Linked DNA regions of Callithrix jacchus. The protein of the gene in region 3 interacts with the protein of the main gene of each other region in a biochemical or structural test. Links are inferred from orthologs where the notes say so. Each region holds a gene or a part of one and is shown on either strand. Other genes may lie near its edges. The genes, in order: ADGRA2, CTNND2, DLG1, VANGL1, FRMPD4, KCNJ2 and GUCY1A2.

Region 1 (4,490 bases), on a different chromosome or scaffold from region 3:
TGTTAACTTGGGGTTTTTGTTGTTCTTAGAGGGCTGTCAGCTATAGCTCTTCCCGATGGGGAGGAGACGGATCATCCCCTTTCAGCCCCTACATAGACCTTCTCCTGTTCCTTCCCTCGAGATACATCCTGGGGTGGGCATGGGGGTGCTGGAGGGACTGAGCTTAAGGAAGGAACCCTTGCCCAGCTTCAGCTGAAGGAGAGCATGGGTTCTTTTTCTTTCCAAAGACAGCTAGTGGGGGGTGGGCGTGGGGGTGCCATGAGGATGAGGATTATGTGGATCCTGGCGGAAGAGCTAAGCAGTAAGTCTGTGACTGAGGATTCCATTACCCTCCAGGCTGAAGGTCCCTTGGACTCTCCAGGGCGTCCCTGGCCTTGCCCTGTCTGTGTCCCTGTGGGGAATCCAGAGCCAGGCTTGAAGGCTGCTCTTTAAAGGATATCCTGTCCTAAGCCAGTGGGTCAGTGGCCTGGGAGGGTTTGGGATGGGAGGGTGAACTAGGGGTCACCTTTGCTGCCACCCGGTTCTTATGCATTTTTACCAAGAGTTGGCCCCACTCTCTCCTTGAAGTGGTGTGGATGGGAATGAACCATGGCCTGATCATTTTAAGATGTACTGCAAAACCGACTTTCTATCCATCCCCTCTACCCCCCCTCCCCCAGCCATTTCCTTTTGCCTTTGATATGTTAGGATTCCCTAACCCTGACACAGAAACGCAGAGAATGCGCATCCCACAAATGTGCATAAGCAGACACTGGAGTGTGCACACATGCACGCCCAGATCTCAGTTCTGAATTATTATGCAGCTGGGACTCAAGGCAGACACGACCGACTATTCCTCAGAGCAAGCGTTTTTCTCCTCCAGAACTGAGTGGGCTGGGGAATGCCCAGGCCTGCCTGGACCCTCAGACCCCAGCGGACACTCAGAGAGAGCAGCCCTGAACAGCCACAGGTGCCTTTCCTGGCCACTTAGCCCTGAGCAGCCGGAGGCGGGAGCGAGCAAACACACCGCCTCCACCCCTAAGGCACACACAGGCACACACACATACACCCGGGCTGGGGAAAATGCAGGCCGGGCGGCCAGCGTCAGAGGTTGACCAGTTGTGTCCTGTCAGGAAGCGGGCAGTCTCTGAACTCACCCAACCAGAGGCGTTACTGTATTGTTCTGGACACAATCGAAAAGACTGGGCCAGCCGGGACTCCGGGCAAGGGGCGGTGGAGAAACGGTTGCCACTGGGGTTAGGAGGACAGGGAAAGGGAAGCGGCTCTTAGGCTCGATTTGGGACAGGAAAGGAAACGGCGGCCGCGGACGCCCGACCCTCAAGTCCACGGCGTGCGTGGAGCTGCGAGCACGTGGCCGGCGCAGGAAACCTCTGCGGCTGGGAGGGGTCGCCAATGCTCGCGCAGCTGCTGGAACTTGCGACCCCGTTGGAGGAGGCTTGGGGTCGGGTTGCGGCGCCACCGCGCTCGCTGCCAGCAAAGCAAGGGCGTACTGAGGCCCTGACTGAGAGAGAAGTCGCGGGATGAGGCCGGGGTGGGCGGCGGTGGGGGGATCCCGCTTCCCCAGCCTCTTTTCTTTCTTGGCAATCTTTGCGCGAAGTCAATCAAGAAACAGCCAGAGCTCGAGTTATTTCCGGGGGGGGGGCAAAGAAGAGGCAGGGACGCGGGACCCAGCACAGAGCTCACCGCACAAACGGCGCCGTGGGAGAGGGGCCCTAGAACTAGCGGGACGCCAGGGTCTCCCGCAGCCCAGAAGCGCCCGCATTCCAAGGGCCGACTTTCCCGAGCCCAGCCTCCCCTTGCTCTAAAGAGACCGGTGGGAAGCGGCGCTGGCATGGCAGGGGGTATGGATGGGATGACCCCAATGGGAGGGACAAGGCCAGGCGGGTAAATCCAGAGACTCCTCCAGCCGGATTCCGGACGCGTCCGCAGTGGTTAGGAACACAGCCCCGTCCTGGGCCACGGGTGTCCATCTTTCCTAAGCCTTCCCCGCTCTCACCTTTCTCAGGTCTTAAAGTCCGCAACCCTAGTCCAGTCTGGAACCCGGGGCGTGGGTGCCCTACAGGCGTGCACTCCATTTCACCTGTGCAGGTGAGTGGGCGCCTTCGGTGCCTCTATCAGGGGCGCGCCTGCCCCCCGCAGCCGCTTCCCGCCTCCGCACTCCAGGAGCCCCAGTCTCCCCGCTGCTCCTCCAACCCTCCCCTCCCGGCGCCTGAATCTCTGAAGTGGGGGTATCGCCCCCTTCCCCCTGCTCCCGCCCCTCTCGTCTCGCTGCCCCTAGTCCCCCGTCCCAGCTCGGGCCGAGCTGGCCTGATAGGGTACTCACAGGGTAACGGTGCCGTTAGGCAGAAGGCCAGGCTCGGGAGGCTCCGGGAGGTCTCCGCCACCACACACCACCCTCCTGCGTGCCGGGCCGGGGGCGCCGCCGCTCAGCCCCTTGGGCCGCTCCCCCGAGCACTTGCAGCTGCGGATGTGGAGCGGGCAGCCGGGCGCGCCCCGAGCCTCGGGCGCCAGGAGCAGGAGGAGCCACGGCAGCAGCGGCAGCAGCAGGCGCGCGGGCGCCCCCCGCATCCTGCGTCCCCCGGCGCCCATCAACCCATCTCCCCGCGGGGACCCACAGCGCTGGGGCCGGGCTGCGCGCCGGCCGGAGGGACCCAGGCGTGCGGGAGGCGTGCTTAGCGGGGAGCCGGGGCGCCCGAGGACCGGGCGGGGGGCCCTGGGCGGAGGCGAGCCCGGGGGTCCCCACCGCCGCGCCCCGGGGGCATCTCCGGCGAGCGCCCCGGCGGGGAGGACGCTGGCGCAGCTGTCAGCTCAGCGCGGGCGGCCCCCGGCGGCGCGGCCCGAGTCTCAGCGCCCGGCCCTCGGCCCGGTGGAGGCCCGGCCCCTCCGCGTCGCCTGCTTGCTGGGCGCTGGGCTGGGACCTAGCGGATCGCGCCGGGCTTCTGCTGCCGCCGCCGCTGCCGCCGCTCCGTGCCATGGATGGAGGCAGCTCCGCGCCGCGCCGCTCCCGCCGCCGGCCCCCGCCCTCCCGGGCCTTCCGCGGGGCCCTAGCGCCGTCTGACTAGCGGCCAGGCCGAGGCCCTCGGCCGAGTGGGGGCGGGCCAGCTGGCTCCAGGACCCTGCGTCCCCGCGCCCGCCCCGAACCAAAACACTCCTCTCCCGCTCATCCCCGTCCCCGGGCCCATCTTAGACCTCTGAGCCTGCCACCACGACCTTCCACAAAACCTCCCTCGCCTGTGCTGGTGCAGCCTGCACCCCCAGGCTGCTGGGGCCCTCCTGGACCCGCGGGCTTGGGCAGAGACATCTGGGTGCCCTGTTTTGGGTTGAACTTGGTGCTCTGCTCTGAGGTTTCCCTTGGCTCCTGACGCGATGGTCAGTCTGGAAGTTGGCTCTCACTCTCCCTCCAGCTCCGGTGAAGGCCGCCGCAGGAGGTTGGCAGCCAAGACGAAGGAGGCAGCAGACCCTCCTCCGCTGCAGTGACCTCGCTCAGCTGGGGTGCCTGTCCTTCGGCCAAGGAGAGGTCAAAGGCCAAGGCAGACAAGGCTGGATTGTGCCTCCTACATTTTCCACAAAGCTGTGTGTGAGTGTGTGTGCGTGCGTGTGTGTGTGAGAATGTATGCATGAGTGTGTGTGCATGTGTGTGACAGAATATGTGTGTGTGTGTGTGTGTGTGTGTGTGTACACGCGTTTTGGGAACAGTGAGTGGGAACAAGGGAACAGTAGATGAAGAGGAGCAGGGCTTTGCAGCAGGGTGTGGAAAGAGCACTGCGCAGGGATCTGGAGATCCCTATTCCAGACTTTGCTTTGCCTCTTATTACTGTCTGACCGTGGAGGCAGCCCCCAGCTTGCTGGCATAGCTGATCTCTGGGATTGAAATGGGGCTCTGCCTGGTCCCCAGTTTATTGTGGCATTAGAAGGAGAGAGTGTGGTGGGGAGGAGGAGCACGTGGTTTCCAAAGGCAGAGGACTGGTGGCCTTGGTAGGCATGACCTTGACAGCTAGTGGTGGGTATAAAGCTGTCTGCAGGCCCTGCAGTGGCTCACACCTGTAATCCCAGCACTTTTGGAGGCCAAGGCGGGCGGTTCACTTGAGGTGAGGAGTTTGAGATCAGCCTGGCCACCATGGTTAAACCCTGTCCTTACTAAAAATGCAAAAATTAGCTGGCTGTGGCGGCGGGCACCTGTAATCCCAGCTACTTGGGACGCTGAGGCACGAGAATCGTTTGAACCCAGGAGGTGTAGGTTGCAGTGAGCTTAGAACGTGCCACTAGACTGCAGCCTGGGTAACAAAGAAAGACTCCATCTCAAAAACAAACAAACACATAAATAAATAAAAATGAAAAAATAAAGCTGCCTGCAGTATACAGGAACCAAGGGTGGGGACAGGCAGGAAGAAGTGCAGCCCAGGGGTCTGTTTCCCCACAGAGGCTCACCTTTCTGCTGCTTCAGAGAGCTGCCAGGATGGGGCAGGACTCCTGTTCCCTCTTCTTCACTC
Region 2 (3,807 bases), on a different chromosome or scaffold from region 3:
CATTTCATAGACGGTTTCCTCGAGTGAGTTTTCAATTAGTTTCACCAAATAACTTTCTTTGACCATAGGGCTCAATAAAACATTTTTTTCCCTCTTTTAGGCCCATTTAGTGATGCTTATTGCTGTAGGGCTGCTCATACAGTGGGAGAGAATTAATACACGCCAAACCACTCCTCAAAGCTCTCTAACTGTATAATTCAGAGAAAATACTTTAATCTTTGAATGTCTCACAAATATAGACAAAAATAGATTGTTTTGCAGACAGTGGTTTCATTGTGTGTGTGGGTGTGTATGCTCAAAAGAGCATTACCATATTAAACTCTTAATGCTCAAAACAGGTAAGCACTTCAATTAGAGATTGCGAAGGGCTACAGAAGGTAAATACAGAAAAAAACCACATCGTTTCCTGCCTGCATAGTATAGTATTGTATTGTAAGTACAATAGCATAAGACATAATTCAAGCCAACAATCTATACTGTGCAATTATTATATGAGTCCAGTGGGGGTTCTCTACTTGATAGAAGAAAACATTCAAATCCAAATGCAAAATAGTTGATTGAGCCTATCTGGAGGTCTCCAAGTGCTGAAACAGAAATTCTGAATCTTCTATAATACGTTGGTGATATCCTGAATCAAGTGAAATAATGAGACAGAATTTCCAGAAAGTCTTAAAGTGCATCCCTCAAAGTGTTTAATAACAAAAGAAAAATTATTTAGCATTTAGATGTAAAAGGACGGGGAGGGGTTGCTTGGCAGGGAATGAAAAGTCAGGAAATAGACTCTTGATAACAAAATGTTTACCCTTTCGATCTTATTTGATCACATGGAATAACTTCCAAGAGGCAAAATTTAATTAAGGTTAGTGAAGGTTTCTGTAAAATTGACACCTTACTGATATACTGATGGGCTGCCTTGTGAAGCTGTTTTCTGGCTGTATATAGTAAGATACTGTTGGTTCTTAAAAACTGGGCTGGGGGGACATTCCTATTCAAGGAGGTGCAGTTGCTTTGACACCAAGTCCTATCTCTTTTTGTTCTACCTGCGTGAAGGCCCTCCTTTCTCACCACTATCCCCTTTGCCTGGGACATTTCTACTCATTCTTTAAGATTTGACCAGCTAGCATATTGTGATAGCCTCTCCATTGGGTTTAGATTGGAAAGTATAGGCGTAGTGACTTATTAAATTAAATATCTGCCCCATATCTCAGAGCTTGTAAGGGAGGGTACTGGATTAGAGCTGAGTTCTCTGACTCCATCACACCTTGTCTCCTCCCTCATCCTTCCTGCATGTGACTTGCTATGACTTGGCGGCTGCTGTGATGTTGGTAAAGTGGACCTGACCTGGTCACAGAGCTAAAGAGGCAAAGAGCAGAAGGATGAAGAGACATCATCAACACATGGACTTCCCACCACAGAGGAACAACAACAACAAAACACTTCCACATATCTGGGTCGAACTCATGTCTCTTCCAGGTGGAAGGAGCACCTGGGTGTGCTGGTTTGTCAAGTCCACTTTACCAACAGTAAGAGAGAACACTGGGATTGCTGGGTCAAATGGTAGAACACATGGACACAGGGAGGGGAACATCACGCATGTTGGGGGATGGGGGGCTGGGGGAGGAATAGAGGTGGGGGGATTGGGGAGGGATAACACTAGGAGAAATGTCTAATGTAGATGATGGGGGGATGGATGCAGCAAACCACCATGGCACGAGTATACCTATGTGACAAACCTGCACATTCTGCAAATGTACCTCAGAACTTAAAGTATAAAAAAAAATTCAAGATAAAAAAAATCGAGAGAGAGAAGACTGGAAACCATTTGCCATTTTCCTTCTCTTGATTCTCAGAGACAAATGCCTTCGGTGACAATCATAGTTGAAAGGCACATTCAGAACCAGTTTTACCAGGACAGAGATATGACGTCACCAGGTAACTTACTTATCTCCTTTGCTTTTGGAGATGCCGACCAACTTCTCGATGCCACCAGCATCCCGTAAGGCCTTGGCGTTCTCCATGTTCTTGGTAATAACTTCGTGCAGGGTGCAGCAGACGGCTGTCACTGTGTCATCCGACATGGCCTTGCTTGCCGTGCTGTTGCTGTTGTTCCCACCTGGAAGTCTGTGGACTAGGTCTCGCATGGCGTATTTGCCTGGAAAAGAAAATAAAGAGAATACTTGAAAGGAGGTCAAGGTGAAGGCAGAAGGCAGTGGCAGAGGTGGGTATGGGGGAGAAGAGAATACAAGAGGCCCTGTTTATGCAATATTGTTTGTTTCCCACCACTGCACGTTCTCTATTGGGTAACTTTGGACGCAGCTACAGAGAAAAAGCAGTCATTCCTCATGGCGGTGCATGCACTCTGCTGCTAGACTGACCTGGGATCAAAGCGTGTTATTTCATGGGCAAGTTATTTCATGCCTCTTAAGCCTCAGTTTTTTCAGTCTCTAAAGCAAGACAATAATGGTATCTACCATACATACAAGGTTGCTGTAAGGCATAAATGAGTGAATGTATGGAACGTATTTAACACATGGGGGTGAACAAGGACACAGGACTCAATAGGTGTTAGGTGTGATTATGTTCTTGCTTGATGTTTATAGAAGTCAAGAAAAATGTACGGAAACTCTAACATAACCCTCAAAAATACCTTAATGAAAGCTATGTCAGAACCTGTATTTTTTAACAACAGTCAAAGCACTAATGTGTGGAGAACATGATCACATATATGAGTCCCGAGTTTTGATTCCTTTAAAGCAAAGAGAAACATGGAAAGCAGGAGAGAGGCACTTGACAGTCTGTAACTATGTGTCCTTTGAACTACAGTAACCTGACGCTGTTTGTCTCTCTGATGGTATTTTATTGTGTAGTTCTACCATGTAACCCTTACTAATTTGGTGTGTTTTGTGCGAAAAATATAATAAAATCCAATTCTGCTTCCTTAATTCACTTTAGCATTGTTAATCTGACTATTCCCAATGATAAAGGTACTTATAATGACATATTTATGGAGTACTTTTAGTTTACAAAGCACTTTAGGCATTACCAATAACACTGCAGACAATTTATCCCACCTGTAGCTGCCATTTCTGCTCCTTTAATTTACTTCTGGAAGTTAGTAAATGAGTGCCTGTAGCAAAGCTGGCTGTTCTCACATTTTTCAGATGTAATTGGCAAGTGCCTCAAGTTAGATCCCTTTCTTGTGTCCCATCCCTCAATGGGGCATATTTAGCTAGCTCCTAAAAGCTATATGAAATATTTCACCTTCATTTAGATCTGTAAATAATATCTTCTTCTGCTATTGAATTCTCAGGTGCATGGTGCCTGGCAGCAAAAGGGAACCTTGTGGGAGCAGGCAGTGATATCTTCATTCCAGGCAGTGATACATAAAACACAGGCCCTTGTAATTTTGGTATCTGCTCTTATCCTATGTTTAGGTGGCTTATTTTAGCTTAGAGAGAAAATGCTGATGCTTAAATTACTGAAATAGAAAAGTGTGTTCATTCACTTGATGATAGCTGAGGAAGTGTCTGACAAAAATGGTTTGCCTGCAAACCCCCCAAATGGAGCATATTTATTTTCTAATGACAGCACCTAAAATAGTTTATCTATTTATCATTAAATCAGGCTTAACTCTGGTTAAGAGTTTACTTTCGTAGAGCTCAGCATGCTGGAGATTCTATCAGTTCATTAACCCCCACAAATCATTAGCAGACAAATTTGAGCTCCATAGACGTGAGATGACCAATGTGTTCCTTCTTCCTTTTCCTTATAAGGAAAGCAATGAAGGAAGGGCAAAATAACTGAAAA
Region 3 (3,807 bases):
AAGATGAAAATCAGTAGAGATAACAGAGAAATTAAAAATCCTCTCAAGTTCTGTGGAATATCACTAATATTGTTAACCTTGGAATGTATGTCACGGATAAAGTTCATAGGTATATTTAACTCAGAGATTTCTTACTTAAAGATTTATCTTAGTTTGACTTACCACATACCTTTAGGACCTTTAATGAGCTTTATTTCCATTATTTTTTCTGATACTGGTTTCCGTCTTTTTACATACAAGCGTACGATAGACCCCGCTTCTTTCAAGGCTTCAACAGCTTTGCTATGTGTTACATCACGAACATCTACTTCATTTACTCGTAATATACAGTCATTGACCCTGGGAAAACAATTAAATATTTAAAGTAACTTTCCTAAGGCCACCCAGATAACAGTGACAGAGCTGTGATTCAAAGATAAGAAAACTGATGCTCAAATAGTCTGAGTAATGAGTTTAAGATCACAGAGATAGTGTGAAAACTGAGATAAACTAAAAATAATTTTTTTTTTGAGACGGAGTTTCGCTCTTGTTACCCAGACTGGAGTGCAATGGCATGATCTCGGCTCACCGCAACCTCCGCCTTCTGGGTTCAAGCAATTCTCCGGCCTCAGCCTCCCGAGTAGCTGAGACTACAGTCGCACACCACCATGCCCAGCTAATTTTTGGATTTTTAGTAGAGACGGGTTTTCACCTTGTTGACCAGGATGGTCTCGATCTCTTGACCTCATGATCCACCCACCTTGGCCTCCCATAGTGCTGGGATTATAGGCATGAGCCACCACGCCCAGCCTAAAAATAATTTTTTGAGTGCAATTTCCAACCTACATACTAGACTTAAAAAAACAAAGTTATTTTTTGAAATTTGTATAAAGTTGAAAATTAGGTCACTTAGTTCAAAGGTTTCTTAGGTAAAGAACTTATAATTTGCCATGGTATTAAAGTTTGATTTGTTCCTAGTCTTAGCCTTTTCCCTAGTTCTGGTCCCTGTGATTACGTGGTATTTCATCTGGAAAGAAAGATGGTCATCTCAAATTGGATAGAGAGGGTAAACAAAACATAATTAAAATATTAAAGCTGGTCATGACAAATTTCTATATCTAATTAACAGAATCAGGAAGCAAATGTCTACATTTTTATGAATGGTCAAATGATTAATTTTTATATCTATTTTATTTCATTAATATACCACCTGTCGTATTCAGTGAGAAGCTTAGAAACTGAAAAACTGCATAATGTACCAACAGCCTTAAAATAAGATGCTGTTTTTAACAGACTATATAAACTCTTCTGTCCTAAGACTTCAGGCTATTTTAACAACAAGGAAATAGGAAAAATGCCATAATTTATGACCCGCCCCACCCCCCCCGCCAAGAAACCAAAGTTTGCAAAATATATCTTCCAAAATGGAACACTAAATTTAAACAGAGACAAATGTTATTTTCATCTATTCAATTAAGAAAATATATTATTTAAAGTTTGCATATACTTTACTCTTTGTGGTGTGGGATACAACATGGATGTGTGATCCTCTATCCTCCATATCTTAAATAAGTTTATATACATGCTTCCCAACCATAGAGGAAATGGAAAATATTTTGTGAGTGTATTTGAAAATACAAAGGGAAATTCATGATTTCTATAAATAAACATTTATAGAATTTTATTTATAGAATGTTCACAAACATTTCAACCATCAACCAAATTTATTATTCAAAATGTTATAATATCTAAGATAAAAAAAAACAGGACTCCTAAATGAAAACAGGAAAACAATGCTTAGACGTAATTATCTCATTCACTGACTTGCATGTTGTTAAAGCATCTACCCTATGTTAGTTACTATGATAGTGTTGTTATTTCTATTTATCCCTGTCCAGTCTGCTTCAAGAAAAATACACAAAGTAGATTCGGCATCACAAAATAAAGTGCAAAGCATACCGCAGTCTTCCATCTTGGGCAGCTGCTCCCCCTGTGATAATTTTGGTAATGAAAATACTTGAGTCATCTCCAATGTGTGGGTTGTCCGTACCTCCTGCAATGCTAAAACCAAGCCCTGAATTTCCCTGAGGATAGAAGAAAAAAAATTGACATGAATATGATTTCTCTTTGTTGACAGGTTTCTGTCATTAAAGGATGCAGAAACTGTACTAATGTAAGGAACACAACAAATAAAGGTATATGTGTAATATAAAGATTCTAAATTAAATGGACATGTTCTGAAGGAAAGTCCTTCAGAGGCATTACCTGCTGAGCAGGTGAGGTTCAAGAAAACATACCAAGGACTTTTGAAGTCTACTGCACAGTTTTTTCTTTAAAAGTATGCGCAGCTTGCCCTTGGATTAGTCACCCATCTGCAGAGATGTCACTATAAGTCTGTTTCTTTTAGACTGCACCTCAGCCATGTTTGGTAGGGCACATCTCTATTAAGAGACAAATGCTAAAGAGATCTTCCTGCTGTTATTTCTGAATAGGTAAAATCAATATTTTTTTTAGCCTTTAAAAAAGGGGGAGGCGATGGTGTTTTTCTTCTGCTAACTTGCCATCAGCTTATTTTTAAATGACCAAATTGTAGATGCTATGTGCTAGCTGCCTCAATCCTTCACATGTTTAACCAATATACCTGATGAACGAAAGGTATTTTTTAATACTGAAACTCCAACCTGAGAACTTAACATTGGTGAATTTTCTTGATAGCAAAGTAAAATTTTGCCAAAGCAGCCCTACTTTTTCTTATTTTATGAACTGGAGAAACTAGATTTCTGCTTCACAGTAAGGTTTCAACTGCCACAAAAAGTCTTTAAAAATAATTGATTTAAGCAATGGTATTGAAAAATATTTATATCTGCAAGAATGTTTTAACTGGATTTCAGGCAACTCAAGTAAGCAAATATATCTGGACCTATTATTTAGCTGTTAGTATTAAATAGTGTCATCACTCACTCTACCACCATTTGTCTTAAAATTCTATCTTCATTAAAAAATGTTTTTCAATCTAACTTCATGAATTAGCTGAATCTTAACAATAGTATCAGTGGATGATGGGAGGTTACCAAGTTACTTAGGTACTCAAGTTCTTCAACCAATGAAGAATACAATGTACAGTTCTGACTAAACAAAAGGAATTTAAAAGGTCCTGGGAAAGGATTAAAAAAATAAATAAAATAAAAAGGAGACATCACAAACCACTACATTAAAATATGTACAGTACATTAATACTGTGCTTACTTGAATGTTACTCCAGTAGCTACCTAACTTGAGCAGGTGATCCGAATTTAAGTAGAAGACAATAAAGATACACATGTAAAAGATTCTCTCAGATTTATTTTTCTTGGATTCCAACACAAATCTAATTATCTAGGATTTTAGTCTTGAACATACAGACATTTACTTACTTAAGAAATCTGCTTGTGTGGAAAACTAAATTTCCACAAAATGTTAGCTAGATAAGGTGGCATTACTATTATAACATACAATAAAAACTGAATGCAAATATTCTCTTTTTTTTTTTTTTGAGATGAAGTCTCACTCTGTCACCCAGGCTGGAGTGCAGTAACGTACTCTTGGCTCACTGCAACCTCCACCTCCTGAGTTCAAGTGATTCTCCTGACTCAAGTAGCTGGGATTACAGGTATGTCCCATCACACCTGGCTAATTTTTGTATTTTTAGTAGAAACGGGGTTTCGCCATGTTGGCTAGGATGGTCTTGAACTCCTGGCCTCAAGTGATCCACCCACCTTGGCCTCCCAAAGTGCTGGGATTACAGGCATGAGCCAGCATACCTAGCCTGAATGCAGATATTAAGGAGAA
Region 4 (4,366 bases), on a different chromosome or scaffold from region 3:
ATTCTTTTATTACAACAGCTTATAAATGAATGATTCTGGGTCATTATTTACAAGGAAAGAAAATATCTACTTCGTTTTACTTGTTTCACCAATGAGTTCAACTCACCTTGCCAGAATCACTTCTCTCTCCAGTCATTAATTACCCTGAAACACCTCCAGCAGCTGGGTACAGATTTCTGAAGAGCTGTGAATTGTTAACACATCTGCAGTTCTGTGATGTATATTTGTTTGCAAGTGACTCCCTTGTCCCCTGCCAGATACTCAAACTTCAGAAAAATAGATCTCGTGAGTACTACCTCCTCTGTAAATTTGATGGTATGGGGTCTAATCACTGCTGTTTCTATAGTGGGATTCAAAAGGACACTGCTAGAGACAGCAGAACCCACATATAGCCTTGCACCAAATTTCAGAGGGACCAATATGCTAACAGAAACACAGTCCAATTACAAGCCCACCTCATTTTGTCCATCTTAAGGAAAATAGAATAGCACGATGCCCAAATCACATGCCCTATACAACAAGACCCTAACCAGCTAGCTGACTTTACCGAGATGATGGTAATAGTCTAACAGTTTATGGTTGTCAAGTGTTTACTATGTGTTGGATGCTGTTTTAAGTCACTCACATGTAATATCTCGCTTAATCCTCATCACAAGACTTCAAGGAAAAGAAAACATTAGTATCATGTTAGTTAGGGAAACCAAACCGACACACTGGAGCCAGGGCTTGAACGATGAGAGTCTAACTCCAGAACCTGTGCTCTTAGCTACAGAAAATTTACAGCATTGCAGCAATTACCAGAATGGCTTATTTCTATAGAGGAGTATAAGCAACAATCATAAATTGTCCCAAACTACATATAACCCCACAAATAATTTTGCAATTTCAACTTCTACTCACAGGTTCTGTGTCCCAAGCATTGTGGGGCACTCAAAAGAAAAGAAATGAATCTAAAATAGTTCCAACTCCTAAGGAGCTCACAGCCCCAGTGTGGAGACCTGCAATTAAAACATAATGTGATAAGGGCCCATCCCACCCAAATAGGTGATAAAGCCTAGGACAGCAAGAACGGTGTGTGTGTGTGTGTGTGTGTGTGTGTGTGTTAAGGGGATGATAACAAGGAGGATGCCTTCTTCATTCAGCACATTTATCCTTCAACAAAGGGTGACATGGAATTGGTGCTTGGTAAAGAAACTTTAAATTTCCTTTATGGTTTTGTCCTGTTACTTCATACATAAGACAATAAGAATGTACTGCTTGGCAAGTAGTCTTTACAAATATGTCACTCTCAAAATTCTTCTCCCATTTTACTTACAAATGCAGTTGCAAGCAAGCCTCACTGCCAACATTGTTAACAGTGAACTTTCACCCAGAGTGTTTTCACTAATTACACAGAGACAGCAACGTTTCGGAATGTTTAATGCTCACGGATAGGTGAAGCGTGTTATTTCTTTGAACTGGAAAAAGAAACAGTTTCCTCCCACAAATCAAAGCCCCAACTATATCACATCGATTTAATTCAACTCTAAAAACTCTGTAATTAGTGGTTACAGAAAATGGCTAATTACCTCTCCCTGTATTCAGGCAATTTCTGCCATCTCATTTACAGAGCCTGGGAGCTGTGTACTCAACCCACCCACTGAAAGGAGAATGCTAATTATCATTGTTGATTGGTGATATAAGTAATAATATTTTTCAGCAACCCTGTAAAATTTATAAACATGTCAGTGAAAATGCCAGATTCTTCACAGTTTGTTAGCTTTTAAACTAAGAGTCTAAGATACATTCATTTCTAACCAAAGCCAGGGCAAGAGTTTTAACAAAATGCACTGGCCACCCACACAATCACCATCGTAAGGCGCTCCAATACTTCCTAAGCAGCGTCTAAGGGCGCTCACGACGCCTTCGCAGGGTGGGCATTACACCTGGTTTGGAGAAGTGAAAACTGAGCAACAGATTTCTCGACTCCAAGTCTCATCTGCTCATCATCCAGCAGCCAGGCCGCGGCTCCGCCCCACTCCTGCCGCCACCACGGACGCGTTTAAATTTTAATAAAGCTTCACACTTCTCCAGGCGGGATGCTTGGGCAGTTCAAAGGCTGCAGAAGGAAATGAAACCCTGCCGGTGGCGAAGGCTGCCCCGGCGCGGTGAGATTTCCTCCAGCAGGGACACCTTGGGCAGAGACCCGCCGGGCGCCTCGGCTCCACCCCGGCGTTTTTGAAAGTAAACTCCTACCTGCCTGTTGCTCTCTCCGAGGCGCAACCGGACTCGCCCCCCAGGCCTCCAGGGCCGGCTCAATTTTTTGTGAGCGAGGCGTGCACACAGACCAGTTCTGTCCCGGTTCCTGGCGAAGGGCCAGTCGGTGCCCGGGTCGAGCCCCTCCGGGGGTGGGAACCCGGGTGCGCGCCCGGCTCCCGCCCTGCACGGCTGCTGCAGCCGCCCGGTGCCTCCAACGCTCGGCCACTCCCTGCCGGCCTGCCCGCCGCCCCGGCACGCGCACCCGAGGGGCGCACCCAAAGGCCGGGCAGGGGAGAGAGGGGCGTCCGAGGCGTGAGCAGGGCACCCCGGGACCCCAGGGACTGGGGCGCGGCGGGGATCGCACGGCAGAGCCAGGAGGGGCGCACTGCGCGGGGAAGAGTGGAGTCGGAGGAAGCGCGACCCGGAGCGCTCCGCAGGAGGGAAGGGAGCTCGCTGGCTGAAGCGGGAGCCGGAGACCCGGGGTCGAAGTCTGGAGGGGCGAGTGCGGGAGGAGGGCGCAGGGGCACGCGGGGTCCCGGGTGGGGGCGTCTCCCTGCCAAAGGTCTGTCCGCGGGGCCGCCGCCGCCGCGCCGCGTGGGTCTCTCGCGGGACTCACCTCCGCGCCGGCCGCCCGGGCTCCGCGGCCCGCGGTCTTGGCTCACAGCGGCCCCGGCTCTGCGGCCTGCGCTGGGCTCCTGGAGAGGCAGAGCCCCGCCGCCGCCGCTGCACTGCTGCTTTCCGCTTCCTGTCCCGGCGCCGCCCCGCAGCCCGAGCCCAGCCCTGCGAGCCCGGCGCGGCCGCGAGCCAAGAGCAGCGAGCGCTGCCGGCCCCGCCGCGGGCCCGGCCCACCTGCAGCGCAGGGCGGGGCCCGGTCCGCGGGCGTCCCCCTCCCTTGGTCACCGCCCCGACCCCACACACCCGGGACACACACGGAGGCGTGCACTGTCACACTCGTGCACAGGACCCGGGGAATGACACTCCACACACACATTCACCCTCATACACACACTCACACTCTACACAGACAGCACAGCCCAGTAACCCACCCTCTTTGGGGCAGATATGGGCACTATTAACACAAGGTCCAGGGATTGGTCTCCCCCCACCCCGAGACCCACCCTCCAACATATCTGGAATCTCAAGCACATACGCACACACACACACAATCATACACAAAATTCAAGTCCATTTGCCCTCAGCAGCGCCCCAACCCACATATTCACACGGCTCAGGGATTAATCCCCCAACCCCACTCAACACACTCATATACGCACATTCCAAGAACTGACTCACAAATGTCCATATACACCACATCTCAACCCATATACACACACTTAAACACACATGGAGCCCTGGAAATAACTCATTAAATGACTCCACAAATAGCCACACGTGCGCTCACACCCAAACACACAGGCTCATACACGCACCCTACAAACCTACAAACCACCACAGCAAGCCTCTCCTCTCCCGTCCCCTATCAGAGCAGGCTCTCAGAAACTGCTAGATGAGCACATCTCTGCAAGCAGGTGGCTGAAGCTTCAGTGCAGATTCCAACCAGGTACACTTCCCTCTCTGAGCCTTTGTTTCTCTGTCTGAAAAGTGGAGAGAATGCCGATGCCCGCCTTGCAGGATTGTGGTGAGTGTTACAAAACAGTTGGCAACGCTTTTCAGGAATATTTGCACTTTTCTTAGTTGTATTGTGTTGGTAGCATTAGGGCTCCTCACGGATCATCTCCATTCCAGGCAGGACTTTCCAGTGGAAGCAGTGTATAATGAAGTGCCGAATTTCTTTTTTTTTCTTTAAATATATATTTTATTGCATTTTAGGTTTTGGGGTAAATGTGAAGAACATGCAAGATTGTTGCGTAGGTACATACATGGCAATGTGGTTCGCTGCCTTCCTCCCCATCACCTATATCTGGCATTTCTCCCCATATTATCCCTCCCCAACTCCCCATCCCCCACTGTCCCTCCCCTAGTTTCCCCACACAGACCCGTGTGTGTGATGGCCCCCCCACCCCGTGTCCATGTGTTCTCATTGCTCAACACCTGCCTGTGAGTGAGAACATGCGGTGCTTGATTTTCTGAAAGAAGTGCTGAATTTCTTAAGAGTTGTCTGCAGGAG
Region 5 (4,427 bases), on a different chromosome or scaffold from region 3:
AAGCACTTCTACATAACCTTATAAGGTAAATTTATTACCCTCATTTTGATGTGAGAAGACTTAAAAGGAAAAAGCAGACATTTCCTTTTCTTTTGGTATATTTATTATCATGTGACTAGGAGGCACACTTGTTTAATGACATTAATTTCAATATGAGGGATTAAATTTTTTAACCTTTATATTGAGCCTTTGTCAAGCCATAGCTCTTCAATTTTCAAATGTATAAAGAGAGAGTTCACACAATCTGTTCACTATTTTTTACTACAATTAGACACACACACACACACACACACACACACACACACACCCCCCACATCACATCCTGCAGCTCAGGATGCTAAAAACCGCATCTCTTAAGTACTTTTGCTTTTCCTCAAGAACCATAGAAACTATTTCTATTCTTGTTTTTTTCCTTCACCCAGACCATAACAGTTTTATCCTCTGAGAGTTATTTCTAAAAATAAAATAAGAAAGAAAAAGAAACACGTAAAGGTCTCTATCTTTGGTTTCCCAATGTTATTTTTAACCATCTATTTTTTTTAACCATTCCCTACTAGAAAACAGCCTGTCCATTGCATCACCCCCAGGTTCCGCGCATTTAGAGCCTGGTTTACCCCATCCCTTTAACCACTACTGGAAATCCCATCGACAAAATATGGTGGGGCTCACTGTGGCTCAGCCCTGATCTCTGGAGCATTGCCTCTTGCCCACCCTTCACCTCTGGCTTTCAACAAATGTTAAACCAAGTCTAGTCTAGATAGTTGGGACCCAGCATATGAATTTTTCTACTTACTGACTCTTCCTTCTTGGTCTCTTTTCCCATTTTCTCATCCTCTTTCTGATTTCCAAAGTTGTAGTAGTGAAGGACCATTCTCAGCCTAAAACAGTGATTCTCAACCAAGGATAACTTTCACCCCAGGGGACGTTTGGCAGTGTCTCGAGATATTTGGGGCTGTCACAACTGAGGGGAATGTGCTATCAACATTTAGAGGCTAGGGATGCTGCTCAACGTCCTACAATGTACAGGACAGTCCCTACAATGAAGAATTACCCCACCTCAAAGGTCAATAACCAACCTGCCCTAAAAGATGCCATTATGTACTCAGATTCAGTCTACATGCTAATGTTGACTCCCAAATTTCAATATCAAGTCCTGCCATCTCTCCGAATTCCAGATTTCTATATTCAACTGTTCCCACTTATGTCTATTATGTGCCCCAAATTTAACTGGTTCACAGTTAAACTCTTGAAGTTACCCCCACACCTACTCTTTCCCCAGTCTTCCCCATATTGCTGATAGCCCCACCCAATTTGTCACCTTAGATTCAAATTGTGATTTTATGGAAATCATTTGGTACAGTCAAACTATGATTAATATGAAAGAATAGTGGAGCTGTTAGGAACCTCATCTGGGAAAGCTTTTAAGACATGCCTAATCCTATACATTTAATTTGATGGTAGAGCTAGAATAAGAACTATGGTCCCATAAGCATCAGCATATTTGGCTTGGCTCCCTTAGGTAAAATATGTAGCTCAGTTGCTTTCACTTCATTATTTTTGTAAGTTGTTAGAAAGGCAGATTTGTACAATGCAAGGATGAGCAGGTTTTGGCCAGTGGGCCAAACCTGGGTTGCCACCTATTTTTATATGGCCTGTGAACAGAATGATTTTACCATTTTTATGCAGTTGAAAAGAAACCCAAGGAACAATAATAATTCATGACATGTGCAAATTATATTCAATTCTGATTTTAGTGTCTGTAAATAAAGCTTTATTGGAATATAGCCACATTCATTCATTTACAAATTGTCTATGGCTGCCTTTGTGAGTAGCTGCAATACATACCGTATGGCTGGCAAAGCTGAAAATATCTATTATCTGGAAATGACAAGAGCTCAAATTTTAGAATTTAAAAAAGAAAAGAAAAGAAATATAGATTTCAGTTTTGTCTCAGCTGGCAGTGTGATCTTTGAGCATGATCCAATGTCTGTAAGCCTCAGGTTAAATGGGATAATGATACTTTTCTTGAATTGTAGGTGTGTTAGAAGTAATGCCTGTAAAGGTTTGAAATATAGGAGGAACTCAACTAATATTAGCAATAAATAATAATTATTATTATTAGCATAAACTTAGCCCTCAAAATGTCTCCTTGGTATGCTCTGAGAGTTCCTGTGACAAATGCCTTTTTCTAAAATCCAAACAAATATGTAACTTAAAATGAATGCCTTAGTCCCTTGCATCCATTAGTTAGGTGATAACAGAACAGGTTTCTATCACATTATGGGTTAACAGCAAACTGGAGTGAAGTTAATATCTTTATAATTCACATGTCATCCCACCCAATAATGAATTCCCTCAGTAATTAGTTTCCTAGAAATTGTCTCCTGAGTGATAAAGGTGACAATATCTGAAACAGGAAACAGTCATGACCTATCCAGTCTCCTTTTCAACTTTCCTATGCCAGGAACATCAGAAAACAAGTTTAGTTAACAGAAAACAAGAAGAACCAGAAATAAATGAGTAACTGGCACATAGAAACAGTCCCAAGCAATCAGACCCAACTCTTTTAGATTTCCTAAAGGGCACTGAAAGTATACATAGAAGCAGAGATTGGCCTTGATTTTTGATTGGCCTCCCCACAAACTTCCAGGCAATAAAGATAGGGGCATGTCTGACACTCACCTCATCAATGGCCTCCGTCAAGACCTTGACCTCTGCCCTGGCCACCACCTCCAATTCTTCAGAAGATTCTGCCATCCCTGGTGGAGTCTCAGCCTCAGGCTTGCCTCCTAGCTTACATCTCATTCCCAGAGTGGAAAAGAGGTCAACTCTAGCTCTTTTTCTTTGTGTGACCCCATCCTTTCCCCATCTTACACATTGCCATTTTCTCCTGCTAAGGCAGTTTTTGCTGAGCAAAGAGTCACTTCCAACCTCCCTTAGACTTCCTCTTCTCACTGAACTCCTCTTTCTATGGCACTTTCTGGGATGATCTACATCACTGACGAGTGACAAGGCACACAGTGTCATCCTGCTAATTAACATATGGCCTAATTATGGCTGTGTCACAATTTAGAAGATAGATTTAAAGCCTGAAGTGACCTAAGTAATTAGAAGTGGTAGACAGAAACAAACGAAAGCAGCAGCAATAAGGTTGGGGTGGGCAATGACTTGGCCATGTCCCACAAGGCTGAAAAGGTCCAGAGGTCAGTGAAAAACAATCAGCCATGACTGAGATACATTGACACCTTGGGATCAGCTATAAGCTTTACAAGCTGTATTAAGAAGTGAGCATCAAATGTAGGACAAGATGGAATTTTTTTCCTCTGTCCCATCTTCATTCTCTCCTCTATCACCCCTGGTGCTGAGGTGGTGCTTGGTAAGATAGATAAAACAAATTTGAGAAATTCATGCCCACAAAGTTGAATTTTCATAAGGTGCTGCAGAAAAGATAGGGTGGGGAATAGGGGCCAGTAGCTTAACCAATGTTCTGAAGCTGATACGTTCTAGGGTCACTTCTAGTGAGTCGTAGGAGCAGGATTAGGACAAAGACATGATGACTGTGTAGGTTTGCTTCTTAGTCCATTTTGTGCTGCCATAACAGAATACCTGAGACTGGATAATTTATAATAAACAGAAATCTATTATCACATTTCTGAAGGCTGAAAAGTCCACGATCAAGGGACCAGCATATTTGACAAGGGCCTTCATGCTGCATCATCACATGGCAGATAAGCAAGAAAGGGTAAAAGAGAGAGAAAGAGGGGGCCAAAGTCATATGTTTGTAAGCAGCCCTCTACTACAAATAGGAGCCCACTACTATATTAATGAGCCAGCTTCCACAATAATGGCATTAATGCATTCCTAAGGGTGGTACCCCATGACTCAAACACCTCCCCGTAGGCCTTACCTAACATCTCCACATTGGGAATCAATTTTCTATCATACCAACTTTAGGGAACACATTCAAACCACAGCAGTTGGGTACCCCTAGAAGTCAACCTTGGGTCAATAATGTAAGTATGGGTAGTTTATATGGGAAAACATCTAAGAAGCAAAGGTAGATGAGAAAACAAGACAGGAAAAGGAAAGAAGGCAAAAGAATGTATGTTATCAAGGAAGTCAGTATTGAGGACAACTGGGACTCAATCCAGCTGGGAAACTATAAAACACAGACTAGAGCAGTGGTTGGCAAACTTTTTCTGTAAAGAGTGACATAGCAAATATTTTATGTTTTGCAGGCCATGCACTCTCTGTCACCATGACTCAGTTCTGCCCTTGTAGAACAAAAGCACCCTTAGATACAGTTATCCCTCAGTATCCTTGGGGGATTGGTTCCAGAACCACCATGGATACCCAAATCCATGGATGCTCAAGTCCCTGATATAAAATAGCACAATATTTGCATACTTTGTATACTTTAAATCATC
Region 6 (4,561 bases), on a different chromosome or scaffold from region 3:
CTCTGAATAGAGAAATCTGTATCACACATCACTTCAAAAGATATATTAATTCAAGCACTGAAAGCATTGGCACACAGGAATTTTCCTAATAGGGACATGATGAAAAGTCATTTATTAATTAAAATGCATTTATATTTCCTTTTAAAAAAACAAAGCAATAGAGTTATTCAATGCTACCATGCATTTAGAAAATTTCACTTGCAAAATTTAATCCTTCATACTTCCTTATTTAGCTAAGTAATTAAGATAATGATTCTACTAAGATTGGAAAGTTGGAATTCAAATCATCAATTTTTCCCGAAACTTCTCCTTCAAGAAATAAGCCTTGCTGCACAACCTTTAGTCCCCTGGGAGGAGAGAAGTTGGGGATGTGATGTTGATAATTGATGACAGAGGCCAAGATTTTTCTATCATATGAAACTATCTTGGCCTGTGGTGTATTCATTCTATTTAGAATAGAAGACTAAAGCAAAATCATTTCAATCCAAGCTGCATAAAAATGGCATCCTTTTCCGAGTGAGTGACTGGTTTTCAAAGAGAGCTCATTACCTGGAACAACAAGAGCAAAGAAAGTGTTGCCTCTCTGAATTCATACGGTTTGGAAAATTCTTAGCCATCTGCAGATGCACCAACTGAATCATAATAAAGAAGAAAAAAATCTGTAAGTGATTAATTTTCTTTTTCCATTTGGGCTTAACGTGTTTTAAGGTATAATTAAACTTTTGGTCTGTTTCTTAGAAGTCCAGGAGGAAGCATATGTCAGAAGAAGCTTATTGAACTGAGCTGTTAACTCGTCCATTATCCTTCGGTTAATCTAGAGTTAACTTGTCAATCCTCAGGTTCTTTTAGCTTTAGGGTACAGTCTAGGTTCTTAACATCCATCTACTTTACAGTGTTAATTCAAGCTGTTTATAAATAACACATAACTAAATAAACGTTAAATTAGACCTCCCTTAGGGCAGGCATTATTCCCAAATGCAACAGAGTTGGTACCAGGGCTTGGTGAACAGCATAATCTCAATAAATTAACAGGAACCACATCGCCATTTGGCTTTCAGAGCAGCCACACTGAGTGCTTCGTCTATTTCACACCCTTTTAATTTAAGTACCTTGCTCAGTGCTAAGAGGCACACTCCATAAGGCAGGATTAAGTGCGTATCTGCAAAACCTAAGCAACCATATTTCACCAGCACCTCCTAGGGGCCACGTGTGGATATGAGGCTGGGAGGTGGGGACGCGCGCAGAACCTTTTCTTGAATTGTCAGTTCACCTCTCCTACACACGGAAATCCACCCCGACTGCGCCGTCCACGATACCAGCTAGTCTGCCGAATTAGTTTAGCGACTCAATGAGGCCTGTAGAGGTTTAAATAAACTGCACAAACGATACATTTGATCGCTCGAGGAAATAAACATTTTTAAAAACTTAGTGGAAGGAAAGGCTCCTACATATATCCTGTTCTTTAGGAGCAAAGCTTAGTTAGGACACCGAAGTACTCAGAAATAATATGCACTTACTCTTCGATTTACACACACACACACACACACACACACAAAAACCACACGGATTAGTTTATAAAGTTCCAGGATCCAGACCCGGTTAACACTCAAGTTGCTTTTTAGGGGTCTGCGCACTCTTGCCTGGCTCCGCTGGAAATGAGAGCTGGGAGGCGCTGAGGCGAGGGCAGATCTAAGTGTCTGTAGGAGTAGCTATTCCAGAAAAATCATTACTCTCTAATTGTTCTGATTTTAGATCAGCAAAGCGTGCCGGGCGGTGGTGGAGAGATTGAGGGCGGACAGGGCGAGAGGGAACGAGCCGTCTCCCCTTCAGAGAAGCCTAGGCTCCTTGTAAGTACTTCGCGAACAGTCCGGAGAAGAAACAGCCGAGCGGCGCTGTAGGGGCCACACTTGCGCGCGTCTCAGTCCCTGGGGCTCTGCGCGCCCGTCCCAGCCACTCGCCCCATTGACTTAGCGGCCTCTCCGGGCGCAGCAGCCTCGGCTGGGGGCTTCCAAGGGCCGCCGTGGGGGCTCCGGCAGAGAGGCAGGGGAGAGGGAGACGCGCCGGGGCCGACGAGCAGTCCTGCCACGGCGGCAAACGTCTCTCCCCGGCGCTGGCACCTCGCAGGCCCCCTCGAGGAGCACGCAGGGCACAGCGCTCCCGCGAGGAGGGGAACCGGGAAGTGCGTGGGGCTCGAGACGGGGTAGGAAGCTTTGCCCAAGGCCAGGCTGCAATCAGGCAGCCGCAACGGCCGGGCGCGGAGCGTCCCACCTGCTGCTGTCCCAGCTGGGCCACAACTTCCTCCTCCCAGGCCGGAGCCCGACTCCCCGGCCGGCGGGGCTCCGAGGGTGGAGGGGGAGGAGGCGGCGGCAGGTTCCCTCCGCTGGCAACGCCTCGAAGCATCCTCCCCTCCCCGCCGCGGTTCCCGGGGCCGGCCGCGCGGCCAGGAGCGCTGCGATTGGCCGGCAGCGGCCGGGGGCGGGGCCAGGAGAGCCGGTGTCGCACGGACCGCCTCAAAAGAGCCCAGGATATTGCAGAGCGCACTGGAGCCCTGGCCAGCGCGCAGCCTTCCCGGCGCCGGCAGGCTGGGTCTTGGGAATTCTGGTTAGCTTTGGCTCACTCGCTCTTTACAAACTACTGGATCTTACATGCCTCTGTACCCCCCACTTCCACTCCATGTCCCCATGCTCCTGCGCCAGCAACAGGTAAGGGCTGCTGTGTTTTCTTCCTTTTCGCTCGTTGCCTGTGTGTCCTGGGGAATGGACTCTGGCCGCCGTCCCCTACCCTACCCTGCCCCGCTGCTCCAGAGGTGCCCAGCTGTCACACTGCTGTAGCGCTCACCCACGCTCCGGAGTCCCAGATCATGCCTATATAGTTTGTGTGCGCACCAGAACATCCCCAGAGCTAAAAATACTGAGACATGCTTGGAACAGTTGAGCAATAGAAACAGATTTCTCTGCAGCATCTGTTTGTGCTCATAACTTCCAATGCACCAGCTGTAGCGAGATACTGGGTTTGGAGGCAAGGGCGAGAGTCTGTGTTCGGTTCTCACTCTAAGAAAAAAAAAGGTGGGAGGGAATTTGGTTTGGGGGTACGTCTCGAGCTTTGGTCTTAAAGCTTGGCAAACCTTGGGACTCAGCACTATTTTTGATCCTTGGCTTTTTTTTTTTTTTTTTCTTTTTCCGTCATTGCTTCAAGTATAGCTGTGAGTTTCAAACAGAGTAAGTGTCTCAAAGTTGCCTTCCTGGAAGAAGAGCGGGAGCTTGAGTTGGGTTTGAGCCTGAGGATCGCAAAACTTTCACATTATATATCACTCTCCCCTAACCAATTTGTTGTGTTTAGTAATAATGGCATTAATACCTAGCTTGAAGACAGTGTGGTTTTAGGGACGCAAAGTAGTCAAAACGACTTGATTCTGCAAAAAGATTGCATCATAGCATGGATTCATTATGACAATTGGAAAAAAAATTAAGGATATGAAATGGGCAGTTTAATGTCTGTGTTTGGGTAAGGATATCAGCAGGATGATCACTAGGATCAGGCTGTGAATTCTGGGGATTTTCTTAAATTCAGAGTTTACCTGTTAGGAAATAAGGTGTTATTTGAAAACCTGTTTTGGATATGCAAAGAATCCACATTGCGTTTTACCATTTGTTTTCTTTTCACATTAATAATCAATGGACTGCCAGATTTCCTCTTGCCAACCACTGTTGTGTGTCTGCTGTACATTATCTGTACACTTGTTAGCGTTTTCCTGCTCACTTCCAAATGTTTTATTTGTATTTGCCATTATCTGGAAAAATCCTGGTGCTCTGAAGGGGTAAGAGAGGTTAATTGAAGCATGGTGGAAAGGGTGAGAATAAGGTCAAGGTCATTTTACTTAGCTTTCTTCCCTCCTCTCTCATATTTTGATGACATTTTATTTTTTAATGTTCTTGGTCTCCATAAGAAATATTTTATCTAAACTCTCATGAATTTGGCGTAGAAAAATAAAAGAACACAGTCTTTCTACATCCTTCGGACTCTTCAGTTACAGAATCGCTAGTTAGCTGTAGTGTCCTTATGTGACTTTTGCATAACCTGAAAGATTGACAACAACTACCTGCACAGATTGATTTTTAACCATATATTTTTGTTTACCAGACATGTCTATTTTTCAGCATATGCAAATACTGAGCCATGCTACAAGCCAAGCGTGGTTGAGTATAAATGTCGGACATGGGACTCAGGTAGATAGATAGGTATCCCCCCTCCCCTCCCAACTTTCCCCTCCTCCTCCCTTATGTTTATTGAGCTTCTAAGAGGTTGCTTTCCTAGCAGTTGTGCTCACATAGCAACATGTGCCCACAGCACACTCAGGCTGGTCTATATGGCGTCAGCTGGGGAATAGCTGTTCTAAACAGTCATTAGGAGACCTCTCAGCCCAGTACATTTTCTTTTGCTATCTTTATTTCCTATCCTTAGAAACTTTCTTATTCATTACACACCATGACCACATTACAGGACACATTTATTCTTATTTGATTTTTTTAAGTTATTTATAAGCCTATTGGAAGCATTACCT
Region 7 (4,331 bases), on a different chromosome or scaffold from region 3:
GGGGGAGTGTCTGAGTGATAGTACATGCTTTTCTGTCTTTAAAGCCCATTTAAGATCTGGAAAAAAGGTATGTCTGTGAACCAGTCTGAGTGGATTTTTCCAAATGAAACCTCAAATAGCGTTTATATCTAAACCCTCACAAACACGTGGGAATATTTAGAGTTAAAAGCAAATTTGGGTGGGGTTACAGCACAGGTTTTATGGTTTTGTTTTGATTTTTAAACACACACAGTCCACACAAACCCATCTGTCTTCACATGAAAGGACCCGTTCTTTGGAAAAAATGCTTTGGCTTCAGATTCACTGGGGAGCTAAAGCCAGAGACCCTGAACTTTTCTCTACGCTGATGGGGGGAGCTGGGGAGGGTGCTTATCTACTTTAATCTACTTTATTGCAGGGGGAAGTACAGCCTGGGACCCCTCTTTGGGGATGCTGTCATTTGCCCCTTCTTCCCATCCTTTATTCTATCCTCAGAACCAGTATGAGGCTTTTCTGGGACTAAGGCAAGGTACAGTGGGGTCAGGCGCTGGAAGGACTGGTTTGCAAAGAGAAGCTTTGGAATGAAGCCGCACAGCTGAAAGCGCGCGACGAGATGCCTGCGCTGTGGCGAGTCAGTTCTCCGGCTGCGCGAAGCCTTTATCCCGACTCCTCTTAGCTTTCTGAGCAGCGTTTGCAGTCAAGTGCAAACAGATCGCATATTCGGTGCAAAGAGCCCTGAGGATGATGGATGTGGGATCGTTCCCCGGTTTCCCCGGGCCAGGTGCTAGACGGTTTGAGGAGGAACTGTTCTCCACTTCTCCACGCCTGCAAACGGCTGGAGGGGGCAAGCGGAGCTGTCCAGCACTAGTGAGGGGCCGGCGCAGCCGCGAGCCCCGCGCACAGCACCAGGCTGAGGCTCAGCCACGGCGCTCTCGCCAGAGCAGACGCTGTCCTCGCTGCCGCCCCGTTCTGGGCTCGCTCTGCGCCCACGCGGCCTCGCAAGAGGCGGTGAACGCAAGTCTCCAGGAGCTGCTCCAGCAGCATGGGCGCCAACATGTTGCCCCCGTCCTTCCCTTCCCGTGTAAGCGTCTCCTCTGGAATGGGCTGGCTGCACGCTTGGCCTTTCCCTTTCGCCTTGTAACTTCCTAAATAAACTCGGAGAAAGGACAGCATGAACCCTAACCTGCACTTCACACTGTCAGGCTTCCCCGAGGTGGCCCTAGGGGGAGGCCTGTCCCCCCCATCCCCGAACCCTTCTCTCCACCAGCGCCGCCAGAGCCGGTGTATTCCTCAGGGCCCAGGATAAGGCGTCTGGGGATTGCGGTCCCTCCGTCCGAACCAAGCTGCTGTGCGCACCTCCTCGGAGCAGGGAGGGCGCGCAGAGGACAGCGACCAAGTGTCCTCGTTGCTCCTGAAACGTGGCGACAGGCGAGGCAGAGACTCCCAATGAGTATGATGGCGACACGTGATAGTGGCGGAGGGAGAGCATGGGGGGGCGGGAGATAAAGGGAGAAGGAGGGAGGCGGGCAAGTGGAGAGAGGCGGGAGGAGAGGGGCGGGAGCAGTGAGGGAAAGGGGGCGAGCGAGGCGCGCAGGCGGCACCAGCCTCTGCCTCCCCGTCTGCCTGGGCCGCAGCCCTCCCCGCCCCGCCGGCCGCGGTCACACACTTGGAGCCTCCCCGGGAGCGGGAGCGCGGTGCACGGCGATGCGCCGAGGCGGGCGCTGAGCGGCGCCGCTTGAGCAGCAGCAGAGGCGGCGGCGGCCCCCAGCCCAGCGCGGCGCTGCCGCCGAGCCCGGGCCCCAAGGTGCGGGAGCACCCCAAGTTCCCGCCATGAGCAGCTGGCTTGGGGGGCTCCGCGGCCCCGGGGGCTCCCTCCCCGCCGAGCGCGACCACAGCGCCCCGGGGCTCCGACGCGCGTAACGCTGCCCCCGGCGGGTCCCGCCACCGCCGCCGCCCGTGTCCCCGCCGCCGCCTCGGCCGTTGCAGCGCCGCCCGCAGCATGTCTCGGAGGAAGATTTCGTCCGAATCCTTCAGCTCCTTGGGGTCCGACTACCTGGAGACGAGCCCGGAGGAGGAGGGGGAGTGCCCCCTGTCCAGGCTCTGCTGGAACGGCAGCCGGAGCCCGCCCGGGCCGCCCGAGCCCAGCGCGGCCGCCGCCGCCGCCGCCGCCCCAGCCCCGGCCGCTTCTGCCGCCGCCGCCGCCGCCACGGCCGGGGCCAGGAGGGTGCAGCGCCGGAGGCGGGTTAACCTGGACTCGCTGGGCGAGAGCATCAGCCGCCTGACAGCGCCCTCGGTGAGCAGGGGCCGGAAGGGGGGACTGCCTTCTTGGGAGAGGACACGGATCCGTAAAGTTGGCGCCGGGTGAGCCGGGCGCGAGTGCAGAGCCCGACCGCTTGGGGGCGGCCCGGCCTCCCCCCACCCCGCCCGGCCCCGGGTTCCAGCGGCTCTGGGCTGCAGCAGCTCTCCTAGGCTAGGGTGGAAGTGGAGACTAGAGCGGTGAGAAGTAAGATTCCACTCCTTTGGGGTCTCCTGATTCGGGGGCCCGTCTGCCCACCTCCAGCCTTGAACCCCGCTTTCCCACTGTTCCCCCTGGACAGCCCCAGTGCTGCTTCACACCCACCTGTTTTCTGTCCCCCAAACTTTCCCAGGCACTGTGTTCTACAGTTCGGATCCCCTGTCTTTCATCCTGTTCTCGAGCATCCCAAAGGAGCCCCAACCCCTTCCAGGAAACCCTTCCTCTCCTTATTTCCCACACTCTCTTGGTCTCAGCGTGACCTTCCTTGACATCTCGGAATCCCACAGGCTATCTGCATTCTGTGTTACATCCTTTTCCTCAGATCTTCAGACACGTTTTGCCAGATACTTTTCTGAGTTGCCTTCTGATGAAGGAATCTCAATTCTCGAGTTCTCCCAACCCCATAGCTATTTTTTTTTCTTTTTTCTTTTTTACTTATCCGCTAAGCATTTATTCTTTTCTGGATAAAACTGGTGTCTGGTTTTCTTCTCCTCTTTTTTTAAACTTTAATTTAATTTTAAGTCCCAGGATCCATGTGCAGGATGTGCAGGTTTGTTACATAGGCACAAAATGTGTGCCGTGGTGGTTTGCTACACCTACCAACCCGTCTCCTAGGTACGAAGCCACACCTGCATGAGCTATTTAAACTGCGCTATACTTCTTGCACCTGTACCTCATCCTTTACCATCTCTTCAATGGATTCCCTAGTGCTTTCTCTCTCATTTTTTGATGGATTCTTTATACTAGGCTCTTCCTGAATATTTACGGAGAGAATAAATGCCTTCCTAGACCTCTCCAACTTGTGCTCATCTCGGGATGTCTGTATTAGCAGGTTCAGGTGTGCACCAAACTCCCCCTGGTCGTAGGCATCCTTCGAGAGTACTCCTGCCTCATTCCCACCCAGGCATTTCAGCTACCCTTGGCTTTTACCTCTTGCTGGAATGCCAGACCTCTGGTCCAGTTTTTCCCTGTCTGGGTGAGCTCTGTTTTGAAGGAATGCATTCTACTGCAGACAGAATTTGAAAAGGACTCAGTGTCAATCTTCCTCAGTCTCATCTTTTATCCTCACCCTGACCTTGGATACAAGAGCTTTAACTCTTCCTGACAGCACTTTTACCTACTCGCCCCTAGGACTTTTACATTCAGAGTTTCCAGAATGAATCTGAACATTGATCTTGTTTGATTACTGTTGAGTCTCTCTTTTGAGGTTACTACTGCAGTTGATGGTGGGAGGGACCGAAGAAGGAGTGGGACCCTGAGGGGACTGAGTACTGGTACCGGGCAGTTCTTCAAATATTCTTGTGGCACTTGCATTAATGGAGAATGATGTTTTTCTTTTATGAGACCTTATTTAAGATATATAAATTACTTATTATGTTACTTATTTTGAACTAATTTAGTCATTAGGAACACATTGAGAAAGTCATCTTGCTCTTCTTGTGTATTTTCCTATTTGATATATCTTTCTGCCACTTTTTCTTTATTGATAACCTAGAAAACAATCCTCAGGATAGGTTGGGTTTCTTTTTGCTGTTCTTACCTGCCAATATTTCCCAGGCAATGTAATTTTATGAATTATTTGGTGTGGCAAATTGTTGAATATAAGTCTTTATAACAGGAGTCCAGTGACCCCGAGCATCTGTAGGCTTTTGTCAGTACCTAAAGCAACATTTGTGCAATGTGATAGTTATTCAGTACAACAGATTCTTATTTAATGAAATGATTTTGCTAAATATAATGATGAGTTTGTGATTAGTTTGGGGAGAATTGTTGATATAACCTTGGAGTGATTTTTTTTTAACTAAGAATTAGAATTTACAAATTTCTAAAAAGTAAT

The links.
Region 1: the proteins of DLG1 (region 3) and ADGRA2 form a complex in vitro, tested with the Homo sapiens proteins (2 studies listed by BioGRID and IntAct, with this or other methods). The link is inferred for Callithrix jacchus from reciprocal best matches to the Homo sapiens genes DLG1 and ADGRA2.
Region 2: the proteins of DLG1 (region 3) and CTNND2 interact in a test that uses a peptide from one of them, tested with the Homo sapiens proteins (2 studies listed by IntAct, with this or other methods). The link is inferred for Callithrix jacchus from reciprocal best matches to the Homo sapiens genes DLG1 and CTNND2.
Region 4: the proteins of DLG1 (region 3) and VANGL1 interact in a test that uses a peptide from one of them, tested with the Homo sapiens proteins (2 studies listed by IntAct, with this or other methods). The link is inferred for Callithrix jacchus from reciprocal best matches to the Homo sapiens genes DLG1 and VANGL1.
Region 5: the proteins of DLG1 (region 3) and FRMPD4 interact in a test that uses a peptide from one of them, tested with the Homo sapiens proteins (2 studies listed by IntAct, with this or other methods). The link is inferred for Callithrix jacchus from reciprocal best matches to the Homo sapiens genes DLG1 and FRMPD4.
Region 6: the proteins of DLG1 (region 3) and KCNJ2 form a complex in vitro, tested with the Homo sapiens proteins (2 studies listed by BioGRID and IntAct, with this or other methods). The link is inferred for Callithrix jacchus from reciprocal best matches to the Homo sapiens genes DLG1 and KCNJ2.
Region 7: the proteins of DLG1 (region 3) and GUCY1A2 interact in a test that uses a peptide from one of them, tested with the Homo sapiens proteins (2 studies listed by IntAct, with this or other methods). The link is inferred for Callithrix jacchus from reciprocal best matches to the Homo sapiens genes DLG1 and GUCY1A2.

What each region holds. Positions count from the first base shown.
Region 1 is NC_133514.1:38,693,403-38,697,892, reverse strand, and holds the start of ADGRA2 (adhesion G protein-coupled receptor A2), read right to left. Parts: upstream 2,991-4,490; 5' UTR 2,590-2,990; coding exon 2,324-2,589; intron 1-2,323.
Region 2 is NC_133503.1:194,576,188-194,579,994, reverse strand, and holds part of CTNND2 (catenin delta-2), read right to left. Parts: intron 2,153-3,807; coding exon 1,942-2,152; intron 1-1,941. UniProt on the Homo sapiens protein: Has a critical role in neuronal development, particularly in the formation and/or maintenance of dendritic spines and synapses. Involved in the regulation of Wnt signaling.
Region 3 is NC_133516.1:25,002,582-25,006,388, reverse strand, and holds part of DLG1 (disks large homolog 1), read right to left. Parts: intron 2,064-3,807; coding exon 1,939-2,063; intron 340-1,938; coding exon 170-339; intron 1-169. UniProt on the Homo sapiens protein: Essential multidomain scaffolding protein required for normal development. Recruits channels, receptors and signaling molecules to discrete plasma membrane domains in polarized cells.
Region 4 is NC_133508.1:153,635,407-153,639,772, reverse strand, and holds the start of VANGL1 (vang-like protein 1), read right to left. Parts: upstream 2,986-4,366; 5' UTR 2,855-2,985; intron 2,731-2,854; exon of another isoform or gene 2,236-2,730; intron 1-2,235.
Region 5 is NC_133524.1:12,035,333-12,039,759, reverse strand, and holds the start of FRMPD4 (FERM and PDZ domain-containing protein 4), read right to left. Parts: upstream 2,957-4,427; 5' UTR 2,683-2,956; intron 1-2,682. UniProt on the Homo sapiens protein: Positive regulator of dendritic spine morphogenesis and density. Required for the maintenance of excitatory synaptic transmission. Binds phosphatidylinositol 4,5-bisphosphate.
Region 6 is NC_133506.1:126,195,479-126,200,039, forward strand, and holds the start of KCNJ2 (inward rectifier potassium channel 2), read left to right. Parts: upstream 1-1,744; 5' UTR 1,745-1,836; coding exon of another isoform or gene 1,837-2,400; exon of another isoform or gene 2,401-2,405; intron 2,406-4,561. Other genes in the region: uncharacterized protein LOC128932178, read right to left, coding at 1,837-2,400.
Region 7 is NC_133511.1:6,897,814-6,902,144, reverse strand, and holds the start of GUCY1A2 (guanylate cyclase soluble subunit alpha-2), read left to right. Parts: upstream 1-1,511; 5' UTR 1,512-1,978; coding exon 1,979-2,272; intron 2,273-4,331. UniProt on the Homo sapiens protein: Has guanylyl cyclase on binding to the beta-1 subunit. Isoform 2 acts as a negative regulator of guanylyl cyclase activity as it forms non-functional heterodimers with the beta subunits.